Tamandua tetradactyla: one gene and its partner. The protein of the gene in region 2 interacts with the protein of the main gene of each other region in a biochemical or structural test. Links are inferred from orthologs where the notes say so. Each region holds a gene or a part of one and is shown on either strand. Other genes may lie near its edges.

Region 1 (6,910 bases), on a different chromosome or scaffold from region 2:
AGGCTGAGAAACCAAGGGCTCCCAGAAAGCTGAGGCTAGGGCTGGCAGTGCCAGAGCCCTCCATGAAGGGCATAGCCTGGCAGAGGGGACCAAGACGCGCCCAAAGCCCTAACACTGGGAGAGTCCAAACTGAGGCATTCCTGAGGGAGGACAAGGGGTTCTTTAGGAGAACAGGGGAGGGAATTACCCAAACAGGGAATTATGGCACAATCATAATGGCTAACATTTATCAAGTGGTGAATGCCAGGAATTCTTCAAACCCCTTTATTAAATTTAATCTTTGCAGCAGTTTTTGAGGCAGGTGTCATCTTTATCGCCATATCACAGATGAACAAACTGAGGCCCAGAGAGGTGACATAACTTGCCTAAGGTCACCCAGCTACCAATCAGCAAAGACAGGAACCAGGCAATCTGACTCCAGAGCCTGTGCTCTTAACCATGGCATTACACAAATGGATAGAGAAGCCACTTGCTGAGGGGCTCTCAGAGAGCCTTCACCATCCAGGTGGGAAACCTGACAGCTGGGTGTGACCCACTCATCAAGGACTAGTGGCCCTTGCCCCCCTGAAAAGCCCCAACCCTGGCTATTCCCTCCCAAGTAGAGCCCCCTGGAACCCCCCACCCATCCCCTTACCTCTCTGGTCATCATGCTGTTCTGCCTCTGCCTTGTTCCTTCTTGATGAGTCCAGCACCTGCTGACACCCTCTGGCCCCCTGCCCCACATTGCCTGGGAAAGGGTCTGGTGGCCGCTTGGGAGCTGGGCTACCCACTGTTCCTTGGACCTCAGGGCTGCTTGCCCTCTTGAGGGCCCGTGGCTGGACAGCTGGGCTCTCTTCATCCCCAGGGCAGTCATCTGGGCACCCGAACTGCTCAGAGTGTCGTGTGAGCCATGTCTTCTTCAGCTTGGTATGGTGGCTTGGAGGGCAGGCCCTGTGGCCAGGTGGCTTGTTCACTTCCTCACTGGAATCAACTGCCCCGCCGGAGCCCCCCTCCAGGCCCTCCTGGCACCTCCCACAAGGGCCAACGCCCCCATCTCTAGCAGATGGGTGGGATGAGCAACAACCCACCTGGGCGGTAGGCAGGCCAGGAGAGGGGCACCTTGATGAGGCTGGTGATCCCAGCTGGTACCCAAGGCTCCCACTTCCTGGGACAGCCCAGATGTTGCCAAGAGTATGAACCAGGCCCGGGGGACAAGCAGACCAGGGAGTCCGGGCAACACTGTCTGGATGCCCCAGGAAACGAGGGCAAAGATTCTGGTGCCTGCTAGCTCCTGTCTCTCCATCCCTCTGCTGGAGCGAAGAGGATTCCACCTCCGCGGCTCTCTGGAGATGCCCACCAGGGACTAAGCCCAACAACCCAGGCTCTGCAGTTGCCAGTGGCTCCTTTGCCAGCCCAAGAAGGCTTGGATCCTTGTGGTAAAAACCCTAAAGGGAGGAGGAAGGGTTTTAAGTTAGCAGCAGCTTTGGTTCCCACTGCTGAAAAAGACTTCCAGCAGGTATGTCCCTCTGTGACCTCACGGGTTGTGGAAATAGTGAAGGACTCACATGCTGGTTGAAAATGGCATTGTCTGGGTCCCCTGAGTGCCTGCCCACTGCCCTGACTACTCCCAGATCCTCCTCCAGGACTTCTCACATCTCCTACAATCCAGCTACTAAAGAGTTAAAGCCTGACACAGCCAAAGGGCTTCCAGGGTCTATTCTGATTGCTTGATGTCCAGTACCATATTGGGTTTTAAATTATCTTTAAATCTCCTCCCTAGGGGTGGGAACTGTCTGTGGGGGAGATTCCCTACACCCAGACCATGAGGCTGCCTGCACGTCCCTGCTCCAAGACGAGGCCACATATTCTGTGGCTCCAATCCCCAAATCCTTGTCCTGAGCGGATAATGGTGAGTCAATCCCTGAAATGGCCTGAGGGCAGAGAGTCCTAGTAAGATGGAGCTGCTCAGGAGAAAAATGCTTGGGGTTGACTTTGGGGCCTCAGACAGCACTGAGCAAACGCATGCCATTTGTCCTACCTGGGCACTGCCTTAACTTTTTATCAGAATGGACGCACTGAATGATGCTGTCCTGGCAGGGCTGCTTGAGAGCCACTGAGCTACCATGTATGGCCTTGAGTCCTGGGTACTCACTAGGCTCCAGCACTCACCTTGCTGCCTAAGCTGAAGGAAGAGGGCCCTTTGGGCTGGCCCCCTGCATACATCCAGGGGTGAGGGGCCAGGGGCCAGTCACATGGACGCTCCGGGGGCAGGCCGGTCATTAGGTAGGGTGGCACACAGGTGGGCATCCAGAAGGGAGCTCGCTCCAGGATCTTGGTCTCCAGAAGGAAGGGGCAGTGCAAGGGCTGGAAGGCCACAGGTTCACTCTTGGGATGGCCACCACTGTGCTCAGGAATCAAGGGGCCGTAGTGAGGTGGGCACGCTGGCCTGCAGAATGTCAGCGGATGGGCAAGCATTGCCTCCTTCCAGCGCAGCCCCTCCTTGCTGCCCAGCCGGCTGGCCTTCCTCTCCCCATTCCGGAGGCCCTCGCCCTCTACCAGTGGGAGCGTGTCCTTGGGGCCTTGGGGGAAACTAGGAGTAAGCCAGGAATCTGGAGCGCTCAGGATGCCCCTCCAGAAGGGTGGAGACTCTCCCAGGCACAGTGCCCCGTGGCGCAGGCCTTCCTGTGGTGGGGTGCTTGGCTCCTTTCCCACGATGCCATTTTCAGGGGCTGTCTTCTCCCAGGCTGGGGTGTCCTTCAGGAAGCTAGGCGTGCTCTCCATCACTCTCCTGCCCTCATGGGGTTCTCCCACAGGGGGTCCCTGGAGCATAACCACCAATGCCTGAGCTCCTTGAGCACGTGCCCCAGACACCCTACAGCCCTGCACAGAGTGGGCACCACCCAGGCAGCTCCAAGGCAGCTCAAACCAGTAAGGCAACTGCCAGTCCGAAGGTGGGCACCACAGTGCCCATCCATATGCGACCCAAAGGATCCAGTCTGGTGGGATGCTCCAGTGTAAGGAGGTTATTCTGCCCCCCACCCAATTCTTTGGATATGACAGCCCACCAGGGCCAGCTCCCTTCAGCAGAGGCTGCCATTTCTAGGATGATATGTCCTGGCCTTACTGAGCCAGTAACCTAATCTCAAGCCACGGGGAAGGAAAGAGAAAGAAATCAAAGGTGAGCTCAGGGTAAGAGCACTGCACTTGGAGACAAGAGGGCTGTGTGACATTGAGTAAGTCATGTCACTCCTCTGGACCTCAGTGTTCCCTTGCGTGAAACAGGGCTTGGGAATTGACAGAAAGAGGGTTCTTCCCATACTGCATTCTGTGGTTCTGGGGGTGCCCCTTGCCCACCCCCACACTCCAGCCCCACCCAGTTTTGTCGGGGTGAGAGGTGCAGGCTGGAGTTACTGGGGAGGGCTGCCAGCCAGGGTTGTCCGCTGCTATCTCTATCTACACCTGGATAGCCCGAATCTGTCCCTTCCTGGTGTGCTCTGCAGTTTTCTTGGCTCCATGACCCAGGGCAACTGATGGGGGCTGGAATCTGCACACCCCCAACCAAGGGAAGGAGGGAGCCAGCCCAGGAGAGGGGTATTGAGAGGCCTCTGCTGGGATGGGTCAGGAGGCCCCAGCCGTGCAGTGCCAGGGCCGCCGCCGCCACTAGTAGCTGCAGCCTGGCCCGGGGGGAGGGAAGGAGGCGGGGAAAGCGGGCCGGGCCCCAGAGAGAGGGAAAATTGAACGTGTGCAAGGGACCAGGATGACAGGTAGCTCTTGGAGCCGCGGCGCTCTCAGCGCCCGGCACCTTAGCTGGCCTTGCAAATCCGGAGGAGATAGGCAAGGGAGCCGTGGCAGAAGCGCAGTTTTCTGGGGCCACCGCTCCGGAACAGTCCAGCCCCGGCGGGCACCCTAACTTTCCGAGGTGTGGTCCAGTCCAGAGGGGCACGGGGAACCCACTCCCAGTGTGCGGCGGCAGGAGCTTAGCCTCTCAGAGATCCCTCTGTCAGTCTCCGCACAAGGCGCGCCCTTGGCGCGGCTTCTCGGCGCTTACCTGGGCTTCACAGGCCGGGCGCAGCGCGGGTGGCGGCGGTCGTCCTGGCGGGTGCCGGGCGCTCGCTCCCCATGGGCGGGCTCCGGGGCCTCCCGGCCGGCGGGCGAACCCACGTTCTCCCGCTCTCTCTGGTCAGCGCGCTCTGGCTCTTTTTCCCCCCGGGCGGCGGGGGCGCTCTAGGGCCGCAGGTTGGAGGGGTCGGACTCCGGGATCTGCAGGATGCGGCACACGGCGCGGATCGGCCGCACCAGCTTCTGGGCCGAGGCCGTGGGTTGCGCCATGGGACGCCGAGACTCCGTGCTGCGCCGCTGGGAGGGCCGGGCCGGGGCTAGGGAGCGGGTGTCCCCGGAGGGAGAGAGGGAGCCGGGCCGGGGGGAACGCGCGCCCCGGGTCGGAGATGGCAGAGTCGGGGGAAAGGCCGAGGGGCCGGGGGAGGGGGTCGTGCCTGGAAGGGGGCCCGATCCCCGGACCCAAGAAAGAGGCACCAGCGAGGGCGCAGCGCGGCGCGGCGCGGCTAATAGAGGGAGAGCGCGGCGGAGAGCGCAGCAGGACCTCCGATCGCCATCGCCAGACGCACAACTGAGGAGTGGGGAAGCTGCTCCGCCGGTTTCCTCCTCCAGCACCCTGCGGGAAACAGGAGCCCGTGATTCGGCGGCCCCGCCTGGGCCTGCCCCCTCCCAGGCCCCGGGGGCTTCCGCCAACGCCCCGGCGATGCCACCGGCTGCGCACGGGGAGAATGAGGCCTTTGTTCCCCCCTCCCCCCCGCGGCACCCGGGCGCCTGCCGAAAGAGGCTCCCCCAGGGCAGCGTGCCAGCTTCCCAGCCGCCCCACCCTCCCGTGGGCCCGGCCCCGGAGCCTGGCAGGCGGGCAGCACCCCCACCATAGGTGCCAAGCCCGGGAACTGGAGCAAAGGGCGGGAGGGGCCGGACCAGGCCACGGTGGGGCGGGGTGCCCCCCGGGGTGCCAGGGCGCGGCCGGCTGGTAGGGGGCAGTGCCAGAGCTGGCAGGGGCAGCGGGGTTCTCACGGGTCAGTGATGGGCGCTTCTGCCCCATGCCAGCCCGGCCTCGTGCCTGCTGGACCACTCACTCCTTGTCCTCTCCAGCTCTGGCACATGGGCACACCGTGCTGGCCTGTGTCTGCCCTGGCCAAGCTGTTCTTCCCTGTCCCCCACCCAGGCACCTTCCCAGGGCCCAGGGTAGAGAGTGTCCTGCATTAGCAATTCCGGGGAGACCTGGATTCTAGTTCGTCCCAGTCTAAGGGCCTTGGTTTCACCAAATGACAGAGAGGCGGTGGGACTAGAAGAGCTTGGCCACTGGCTCCAGCTTGATGCTGCGGGGGTCTGTCCCATCCCCAGTGTTCCCAGTGCTTCCAGGCCCTGTGCTGGAGAACAGCCCATGGGAGTGGCTCCTGGGAGGGAGCAGAGAGTAGGAGAGGAAATGGGAAAGCACGGCACCCTCCACCCGAGGAAGCATCACGGCTCCTCTGCGGGGGCGGTTCCAGAGCACAGACACAAACAGGCAGATTCAAACACACACAGACAGATTCAGACACACACAGAAACCCACACGCCCAACGGGCGCTTCCCTTTCCCTCAGGCACCCACCTCCCACCCCTGGACTCCCCTGCTTCTCTGTGCATGCCATCCTCGGTGCCTGCCCTCAGCCTGCCTGGGACAGAAAGAGGAGCCCCCCCAGCCCACCCCCAAGCTGGCCATTTGAAGGACAGGGATGCGTTCTCGGATGCCTCCAGCTTGGTCCATTCACACCCCCACAACAGAGAGGGACAGCGCTGAAGAGTTGGGGAGCCTTCTTCCCAGGAGACCGGGGCGGTGGGGGGGGTTGGGGAAGGCAGGGCGCCTTTCTCTGGTTGAGGAGAGGAGGGGTCTCAGGGAGAGGGGGGGTCTGAACAGGCTGTCACTGGGCAGGCTTCGGGTCCAGTGGGCTTAGACTCACCAGCCCGGTCTCCAGCCCCTTCTCCTGCCCCCAGAGGCCAGTCCGGTGGGAGGACCGGCTGGTGAGATGTTTACAGGACTGGGTTATCAACCCTCCCTTCCTTCCCAGCTCCCCTGAGGGGCAGCCTGGACCTGAGTGGGCCAGGGGACACGGTTGTGGAGGGTCTAACAAAGACTAGGATCCCAAGGCCCCGGCCGCCAGCCCCCTGCTCCCAGGCTGGGTTCAGTGATGAAGTTGCTTGTCTGGGGTGTGCCTGTGTCCCCCCATCTTGTCCTCTGGCTTCCCTCAGCAGTCAGCAGCTTGCGAGAGAGTCCTGGGGGCAATTTCTGTGGCTTGGGGCTGGAAGAGGCTGAAGGGCAGGCCAGGGTGGGAGCCTAGGCTGCCCCAGGGGCCTTGAGGGCCTGTTGCGGCCGTCCCCAAAGGGGATAGGGACAGTCCCGGGGGAGCAGGACTGACACCTCCCAGCCCCCATCTAGCTGCCATGTCCATTTCGTCAGGTCACCATCCCAGGGCTCTCAGGACAGGCTCTGGAAATGCCCCCGGGTTCGTGGAACTGGAAGGCACGAAGCCCCTTTCCGCCCTCCCTCAGCTCCCCGTCCTGCCCCCTCAACCAGTGCCACAGGCCCTAGAGTCCTTGTAGCTGGCTCTCCTGCGCCTGAGGACAGAGCAGAGCTGAGGAGACACATAAAAGACACAAACACAGAAGGAAAGCCATACGACGCATGGGCATGATTCTAGATTTGTGGATCGAGGCAAGCTGACCAGCACCCCGAGACCCCCGTGGGCCCAGCCCCAGCCCCACCCCGACCCCTCACGCGCTGACACTCGCGCTGATAGCCACACTCATGCTGACAAGCCCAGCAGCACTCACCAGCCGGCTGCCCTCACACAGTCCCCAGAGCCCCTTACCTGGGCAAGCACGGTGCCGCT
Region 2 (7,581 bases):
GCTGATAACACCAGGGAGTAGGCTGAGGTATAGGGGCTGCCCTCTGAATTAAGTACCCCTATCTTCCCCTCACCCCTGTAGCCTCTGCAGAGGTGTTCACTAGGGACCTCTGTCACTGGGGTTCAAAATTCTAGTTTGCCCTGGACACTTTCAGTTTATGCCTATTGTCCTGGTATAACTGTTAATAGCACACCTTTTCATTCTAAAATGTGTCCCAGTTTGGATGATAAATTATATAGTCACTCTCTATTCCACCCCGGAGGGCACTGAGATTGGAGAGGTTAGGGGAAAATCAGGGAGGAACATAACTAGAAGCACAGTCTTTGTGGTCGAGAGCAACACCCAGGCTGGCTTCACCCCAGGTGGAGCCTCTCAGAACCAGACAGAAGTGGTGGGAGGGCTGCTGCCCATCCTGGAGCTAAGATCTCTTGGGGGCAAAAGCAGTGGGTTCTGCTTCCTGCCATCCATCTGAGGGCCAAGCACCATGCTGGGTACTCAGAAAGCACTTAAGCAAATATAGTCATTTCCTTACTTCCTTCTACTTGCATCCGAAAGAGAATAGCAACAGTGACAAATGGAAAGTTGGAGCCCTATAACTCTCCTTGTTCATTAGTGAGGAGAACAAATTGGAATGTCATACTAGCTCAGACTTCCAGGTCCTCCTGACTTCAGCACTTCTATCTCTAGATCGCCACTGTTGAGTATTATACAGCAGCAGATTTCTAGCAGAGATTTCAGTGGCAGATCTCTGCAAGGCTGATCCCTACCTGCGTAAGGAAGCAAACAACAGGAACTCCACTCCTCCTCCTGACTGGGATAACACTAGGTTCAAGTCAATCCCTCCACATGAAAGACACTGGCTTAGGACTTTGGCTTTGGACACTGGCTGTTTGTTATTGGGAGGAGGGGTAGAGAAAGAATTAAAGAGGTCCTCTTAGAGCTTCCTCTGGGGCTTAGTCCCAAAAGGAGATCAGTTCTGAGGTCATATAGGGGAAGAAGACAGAGAAACCATAAACACAAATTACCTGAGCACCACAACATAACCTGGACCTTCCACAATATTGGGACCAAGTGATAGGCTTGGCTGAAGAGGAGTGAGGATCTTCCTTTCCTCCTTCTGACCCTACTCTTCAGTCTCTCCTTTAGCTTGGTCAGGATCCAAGTCATGGCTGATCAGGGACCAGCCAAACCCTAAGCTGTGGACCCAGCCGGAGCACAGACTGTGAATTCCCCAGCTGTTTGCAGTTTGAGTCAGCTCCACAGCCTAGTTGGCTGCCATGGATTCTTCTGACTTGGGTCCAGAGAGGCTCTTGAGTAGAATCAAAGGACACTGGGCCTTCTATTTCTGCTCAAGGATCTTAACAGCATCCAAAACAAAAGCCAGAAAGAAGTTTACATTCTTACTACTTCCCAGTCTGGCCACATGCCAGTTTCAACACTATTCCAAAAAGATCCACAATCTCTTCTAGCACTTGGATGGGGTGCAGGGGGATGAGGGAAGTTTCTCTGTCACTCAACACTCTTGGTCCACAGAGTTGAGGCTCCAGAGTCCAGATAACCCATCTCCACCTCGTCAAACCATCCCAACTCCCTAGTTTGGGTTAAAGACTTCTTTGACAACACAATGCCTTCCCTGGTCCCGGAATCTTCCAATTTCCTCTGCACCCCCACTTCACCAGCAGACAAGGGCAACTAATGAGATCACTAGACAGAAATGGTATGAGGAGGATGGAAAAGTTTGCAGAAGACTGAGGTAGACCTCACGATACTAGGAGAAGGATAAGAGACATGGATTTACCACAAAACCACAATCCCTTCTCAATCAACTCCTTCTGGAATCAGAACATCCCATAACTATTGCTGTGTTGGGTGTCTGAACGCCTGCCCCCTGCGGAAGCAGCCACCACTAGCCACAAGGAGACAGCCTTCCAGCAGGGAGCTGGAGCAGAGCTGAACTCTGCCCAGGAGAGCTTCTGCAATGCTCAGAAAATGCCTGCCCAACTGCTTGCCTGGGCTCTGGCCCCTCTGGCTGCAACTGAGCCCAGACAGGAGGCTGACTCACTCACCGCACGGAGGAGGAGGAAGAAGAGGAGGAGAAAGAGGAGGAGGTTGTGCGGGAAGGGCCTGGGAGCAGTGACCCTGGGATCCCCAGCCCAGGCAGCCTGGGTCTCAGCTTCAGCAGTCCATGGGGGGCAAAAAGGGGGACCGGGGCTGCTGTCCACTGCCCACTGGAGACTACACACTGCTTCCTGGCATATACTTCCCTGAAGCCTCTTCACCCGCCCCCCACAGACGCCTGGCCCCTCACCTCCTTCAGACAGAAACTACTCTCTGAGCCCCCTCCTCACCTAGACGCTTGCCCCTGAGTGCCTATGCCTCACCCATGGTCAGGGTCTCTTGAGGAAATTAATGCAGTACTCAAAGGCTAAATAGGTCTAAAAGCATTGGAGTTAAAAAAAAAAAAAAAAGGCAGGAAACACACCTTACTTAAAAGACCCAACTTCACCAGCACAGGTGACCACACGTGGGCCCCACAAGATAATAAATAAGGCTACACACTCCACCCCCAAAAGATTTAGCGCCATCCACAGCCAATCGTTCCCCTTCTTACTCCTTCACTCTGTGCCAAGGCACCCGGACAGAGGAAGGAAACAAATGTTTCTTGTTGCCCAAGTGCTGAACACTGTGCTAGCGGAGCTTTTCTGCATTAAGCTAACCGAGCACCCAGGTGGTCTCTCTGAGAGCCCAGTGCCTCCTCAGTGCCCCAACCTCATGGCAGCCCGGCTCTCGGTCTCCAAGTTTGCCCCTGTGACTTAGACTCTAGTGCTTGCACCCGGCTATTCAGCCCCGGTACCAACCGCCCCGCACCCCAAGCCTGATCTCTATGCTGGGACCCCCTTCCCGGCTGCTCCGGGGTCCGCACCTGGTTCCGCGGGTAGACACGCTGGTCCGCGCTCCCAGCGCCTGGGGATCGGCTGCTGCCTTTTGACAAGCAGAGACAACCCAGCACCTGTCCCCGCCCCTCTCACAGGCCCCGCCCTTAGGTCCGCCCTATGCCTTGGCCCCGCCCACACGTCCAGTCCTCTCTTGCCAGGCACTCCATTCGCGCTGCAACCATCTTGACTTGGAATCAACCACTGCACTGTCACCTTGGAGACTCTGCCCCAAGTAGCCTTTCACGACTGCTGTCCCTAAAGCAAGGCATGCTTTCACCTCTTGTACATGGGAGTTTTCGATGACTGTAAGTGTGCAGATCTACGCTCCTGCCTTCGAAATTCTGTGATGTTTTACTCCCCACCCCAGGTGCCGTGGTTCTGCCCAGCCTTCCACCGACGCCTCTTCAGGTGCGTCACCCTCACCTGGGCTGACACCGCCAGGACTTTTCCGTCGTCCGTCGGGCGCTGGGGGGCGCCTGCCGACGGGCACCAACGGCTCTCTCCGCTCTCGTGGAAAATTCGGGGCGCCATTCGCCGTCGTATTACTTTTGCCGAGTGCCAGGGAGCTGAGCCCGAACCCACGCGCTATGATTAAAATAAATAAATAAATAAACGGGGCCGGAGTGGAGCCTAGATTTGCATCATCGCTCTTACTCTATGTCCCCTAGGCAGAGACCACAAATGGCTAGGTTACAGGTTCTTCGCGAATCTCGTCCTAGCTGGTTTAGTGTCAGCTTCTGGGGCCCTGATCCCCAGTTCCCCCTTCCCCGGCATGACATTGGTGTAAAAGGGAGGGAGGAAGTGAAAAATACATACTAAGACCTGGAATCGGGGATGACTATGAAAAAGCTGACATAGATTTGGGCTAAAAAAGAAAAGAAAAAGAACAATTTGGGGCCTCACTGTTTACTCTATGCTGCTTCCCTAACTATGGATTAGGTAGCACTGTGCTGGACAGTGGAGGAGATGAAAAAGACATGGTTCCCTCTGTTTTAGAGCTCACTATCCAGTGGGGAAATTCATAAATAAATAGTAATTACAACATAATTACTACATAATGTGCTGCAATAGAGATGCCCACAAAATCATCTAGCAGTTGGTGAACTCTTTTAGGCAGGGAAGGCATTGCTATTCACCTTTTATAAAGGAAGAAGCCATGGCTCAGAGGGACAAGCCAAACAGGTGGGAAACTGAAGCACAGAGAGGTTAAGTGATTTGCCCAAGGTCACACAACTGTACAATACAGGGCTAGCACTGGAGTCGAGCAAGTCTGCTGGCATAGTGGCTTCTGAACCATTTCTGAACCAATTATGCCATACTATTTGATACCAACCCCTCTCCAAATCTCAATAATTGGATCAAGATAAATGAACTGAGGGTAAACAGAAGGAAGAACCTTGAAACTGAAGTTTGCTATGCACTGAAACAGTTCGTTAAGGGGGTGTCATGGAAACTTAAAAAAAATGGAAGCGACACCCATCCTTTCACTGAACTTGGGAATGGACAATGCATGCTGAGAAACAGAAGAGATGAAATGCCCTTTGGAGGCTCGGCTGATCTGATGGGTCTGGAATTCTCTGGTTGTAATGAAAGGAAAAGAATGTTCTCAACTCAAAGCATCATGGAAACTCTAGCAATGACTCCCATGGAAAGAGGGTATCTCTAATAATCACCACTTTGGGACATTCTCAGGAAGTCTGTGAACCTCTAGAAGGGGTTAATCACTCAGAAGTCACTTTTGTGGTGCCAGAGACAGAGGTGAATGTCATCTAGAAAATAAACTTAACAAAACATGGCAAGACATGAGTTACTAGTATAAAATAGTAACTGACTATTAGTCTCTGAGGTGATTTGGAGCTATGTACCTCAGAAAAACATGTTCTTAAACTTAATCCATTCTGTAAGTGTGCATCTATTGTAAGTAAGACCTTCTGATGAGGTTGCTTCAGTTAAGGTGTGCTCCACCTCAGCACGAGTCTTAACCCTATTACTAGAGTCCTTCATAAGCAGAATGAAATTTAGACAGAGAGGAAGCCTTGGGAAACAAGAAGCTGAAGGTCAATGGAACCCAGAAGAGAAGGGAGAGGCCAGGAGATTGCCATCATGTGACAGAGGAGCCAAAGACCAAGGATCACTGGCAGCCAGCCCCAGAATGCCATACTTCAGGAAGGAAGCATCACCTTGATGATGCCTTGATTTGGACTTCACCTAGCCTCAAAACCATAAGCTTATAAATTCCCATTGTTTAAGCTAAACTGTTGCATGGTATTTGCTTGAGCAGCGAAGGAAACTAAGACACTCTTTCTTCACAGTTCTTGGTTGTAGTCTACTAAGAATACCTAACATGTAAAATTTGACAGTATCAAAAGAATTATTTGGATTATCTCATTTGATCTTCAGTACAACCTTTTCTGTTAAGCAGAGTAGAAAATACTCTCGTCTTTGTACAATTAACTGTTGTGCAGAGTTGTTGATGTTCTTACAGCTAGGGAGTGACAGAGACACGTGGACTTTCTATCTTTTGGACCACAGTCTAGAAAACTCAGCCTTTGGGAACTCAGAGGTTTTGAGTTTGGCAGCTTTGCAAAATTATAGATGTTATCAGAGATCTAGAACATTCCATCATCAGCCCCATCAACATATCCCTGATCATGTTTTTCTTATCTTCACCCAATATCTGAGTTGCTCTGTCATCTGTCTCCCGAGACTCTATCCTCCTTCAGGTCTTGTCTATACCATTAGGCCTTTCCAGCCATCTCCAGGCCAAAAAGACCTGTCAATTCTCTGGTCTTTGTATTGTCTGTTTTGCATGGCTTGTCACCTGGCAATGAACCATCTTGCATTCATATTGAACAAAGATGGATTTTCACCTCAGTTTTCATCTTAGGAATGTCATTTTGCAAAAATAGAAAAGCAAGATTACATCAGATTCGCTTCTGTGGTGTTCTGTTGTAATCACTAATTGCCTCCTGACCCTGCTTCTCCCTAGCCAAGTTCTAGGAAGGGAGGCTGCTGTTTTACACCCTGTTCTCTCAAAGCCTTTGATGACACTCAGCATTCCTGTACTACAGAATCATTATCTTTAAACTTTAGCTTGATTGCTGTATGAGGTATGCATCAGAACCTCTGCAGAAAACACTAATTATCTCTTTCTTGTCCTTGAAGTTAATATTTCTAGAACTCTTGCTTGTCTCTGGAAGGGAGGATGGTTGTCTTTATGGGATTCTCAGATTGTGTTTTTGTCAGTACTCATCTCTGATAAATTAATATATATTAAGTGCTATGGGAAAGACACCACACTATAGTGTTATAAACTCAACAGTCTGTGTAGAAACAAAGGAGCCCAACCAGGAGATTCCTAGCTGGGAGGAATGATTCCAGAAATGCCAAGCTGAGGCCACCCCATGTGCATGCCATTCCACAGGATCTGAGGCCAGTTTTTATGTGCCTATAGGTGGCCTGAGCAGGCCTGTAGTCAGGCCACAGAGCTTCATCCTATCCTCAACTGATGGACTCCCCTTTCCTTAAGGCTGGCCACTGTCCCCTAGTCTGGCTGGCACTCTCTGGACCTCCTGCCATGGTGCCAGAGCTGAAGTGGTGACCTTGTCCCTACAGAGGTTCCCAGAGACCTTGTCTCTAAGGACAGAAGGATAAGCGATCCAGAGGATTCTCTCCAGGTAAAAGTATGTCCTTTGAGTTCTCTCTGGAGCACTCCCACCTGTTTTTCCTTTTTTTAAAGCCCTTTCCCCCTTAAATATTTTATGGTACAGGTATGATAGGAATAAAGGGAAGCCTCTTACCCGGTAAGTATCTAGAGAACATTCTGAGAAACATGGAATCATGAAGTCATAGAAACAGAAGGGTCCAGCCCATCCATTTCAATCAGTTCTCTTGCTTTAGAGTTGAAAAAATTAAGTCCAGAAAGGCTAGCTCATTTATCTTTTCTAATCGATATCAGGACAAAAAAGATCCAGGACTGGATCCTGTTTGTGTTCTAGACGGTGAAAATGGAATAAATAAATGGAAGAAGCTATTAGCAATGAAAGCAAACCAAACAAAAAGGGTCTTCTCAGGACAGTGATTTTCAAAGTTTTAACTGCAACACAAAGTAGGAAATAAGTTTTTATCATGACCTAGTAAACCCATGCACATATATAAATTAGATAAAAGCCTTATGAAATACAGATATCCTACAATGCTTTCAATATTTTCTACTATTTTCTCTACCATTTCTTCCTTCCTTCCTCCCTCCCTCCCTCTCTTTTTCTCTTTCTTATGAGATCCACCAAATGGATGGATTCAACCATTTCTTTCTTTTTTTATGGGATCCACCATTAATGGGTTGTGAGCTTTAGCTTGAAAAATTCTGCCCTGGGTTATAAGCTAGGCTGACTAGATTGTTTGTGTGACCAATGGACCGAGGGCACTGCCCAGGTTTTTGTGTTGTGGTTGTTTTTTTTTTCCCCAACTGTTAACTGCCCTGGTTTTGATTGAATCTCATCTTCCTGAATAATGTGAGCAAGCTCCGTGGGATCCCTTCATTTAGTACCTGGAACATGAGATTCTAAGAAAGGCTTTGAGAGAACCACAGGGCTTAAAGAGAGCTCCCTCAGAACCTTGCAGTGGCTCCCACATGGCTCCCGTG

The links. The genes of interacting proteins can lie anywhere in the genome.
Region 1: the proteins of VDR (region 2) and HR form a complex in vitro, tested with the Homo sapiens proteins (2 studies listed by BioGRID and IntAct). The link is inferred for Tamandua tetradactyla from reciprocal best matches to the Homo sapiens genes VDR and HR.

What each region holds. Positions count from the first base shown.
Region 1 is NC_135329.1:22,758,513-22,765,422, forward strand, and holds the start of HR (lysine-specific demethylase hairless), read right to left. Parts: upstream 3,022-6,910; 5' UTR 2,809-3,021; coding exon 2,149-2,808; intron 1,425-2,148; coding exon 635-1,424; intron 1-634. Other genes in the region: protein HRURF, read right to left, coding at 4,204-4,308. UniProt on the Homo sapiens protein: Histone demethylase that specifically demethylates both mono- and dimethylated 'Lys-9' of histone H3. May act as a transcription regulator controlling hair biology (via targeting of collagens), neural activity, and cell cycle.
Region 2 is NC_135333.1:107,855,910-107,863,490, forward strand, and holds the start of VDR (vitamin D3 receptor), read right to left. Parts: upstream 3,017-7,581; 5' UTR 2,924-3,016; intron 1-2,923.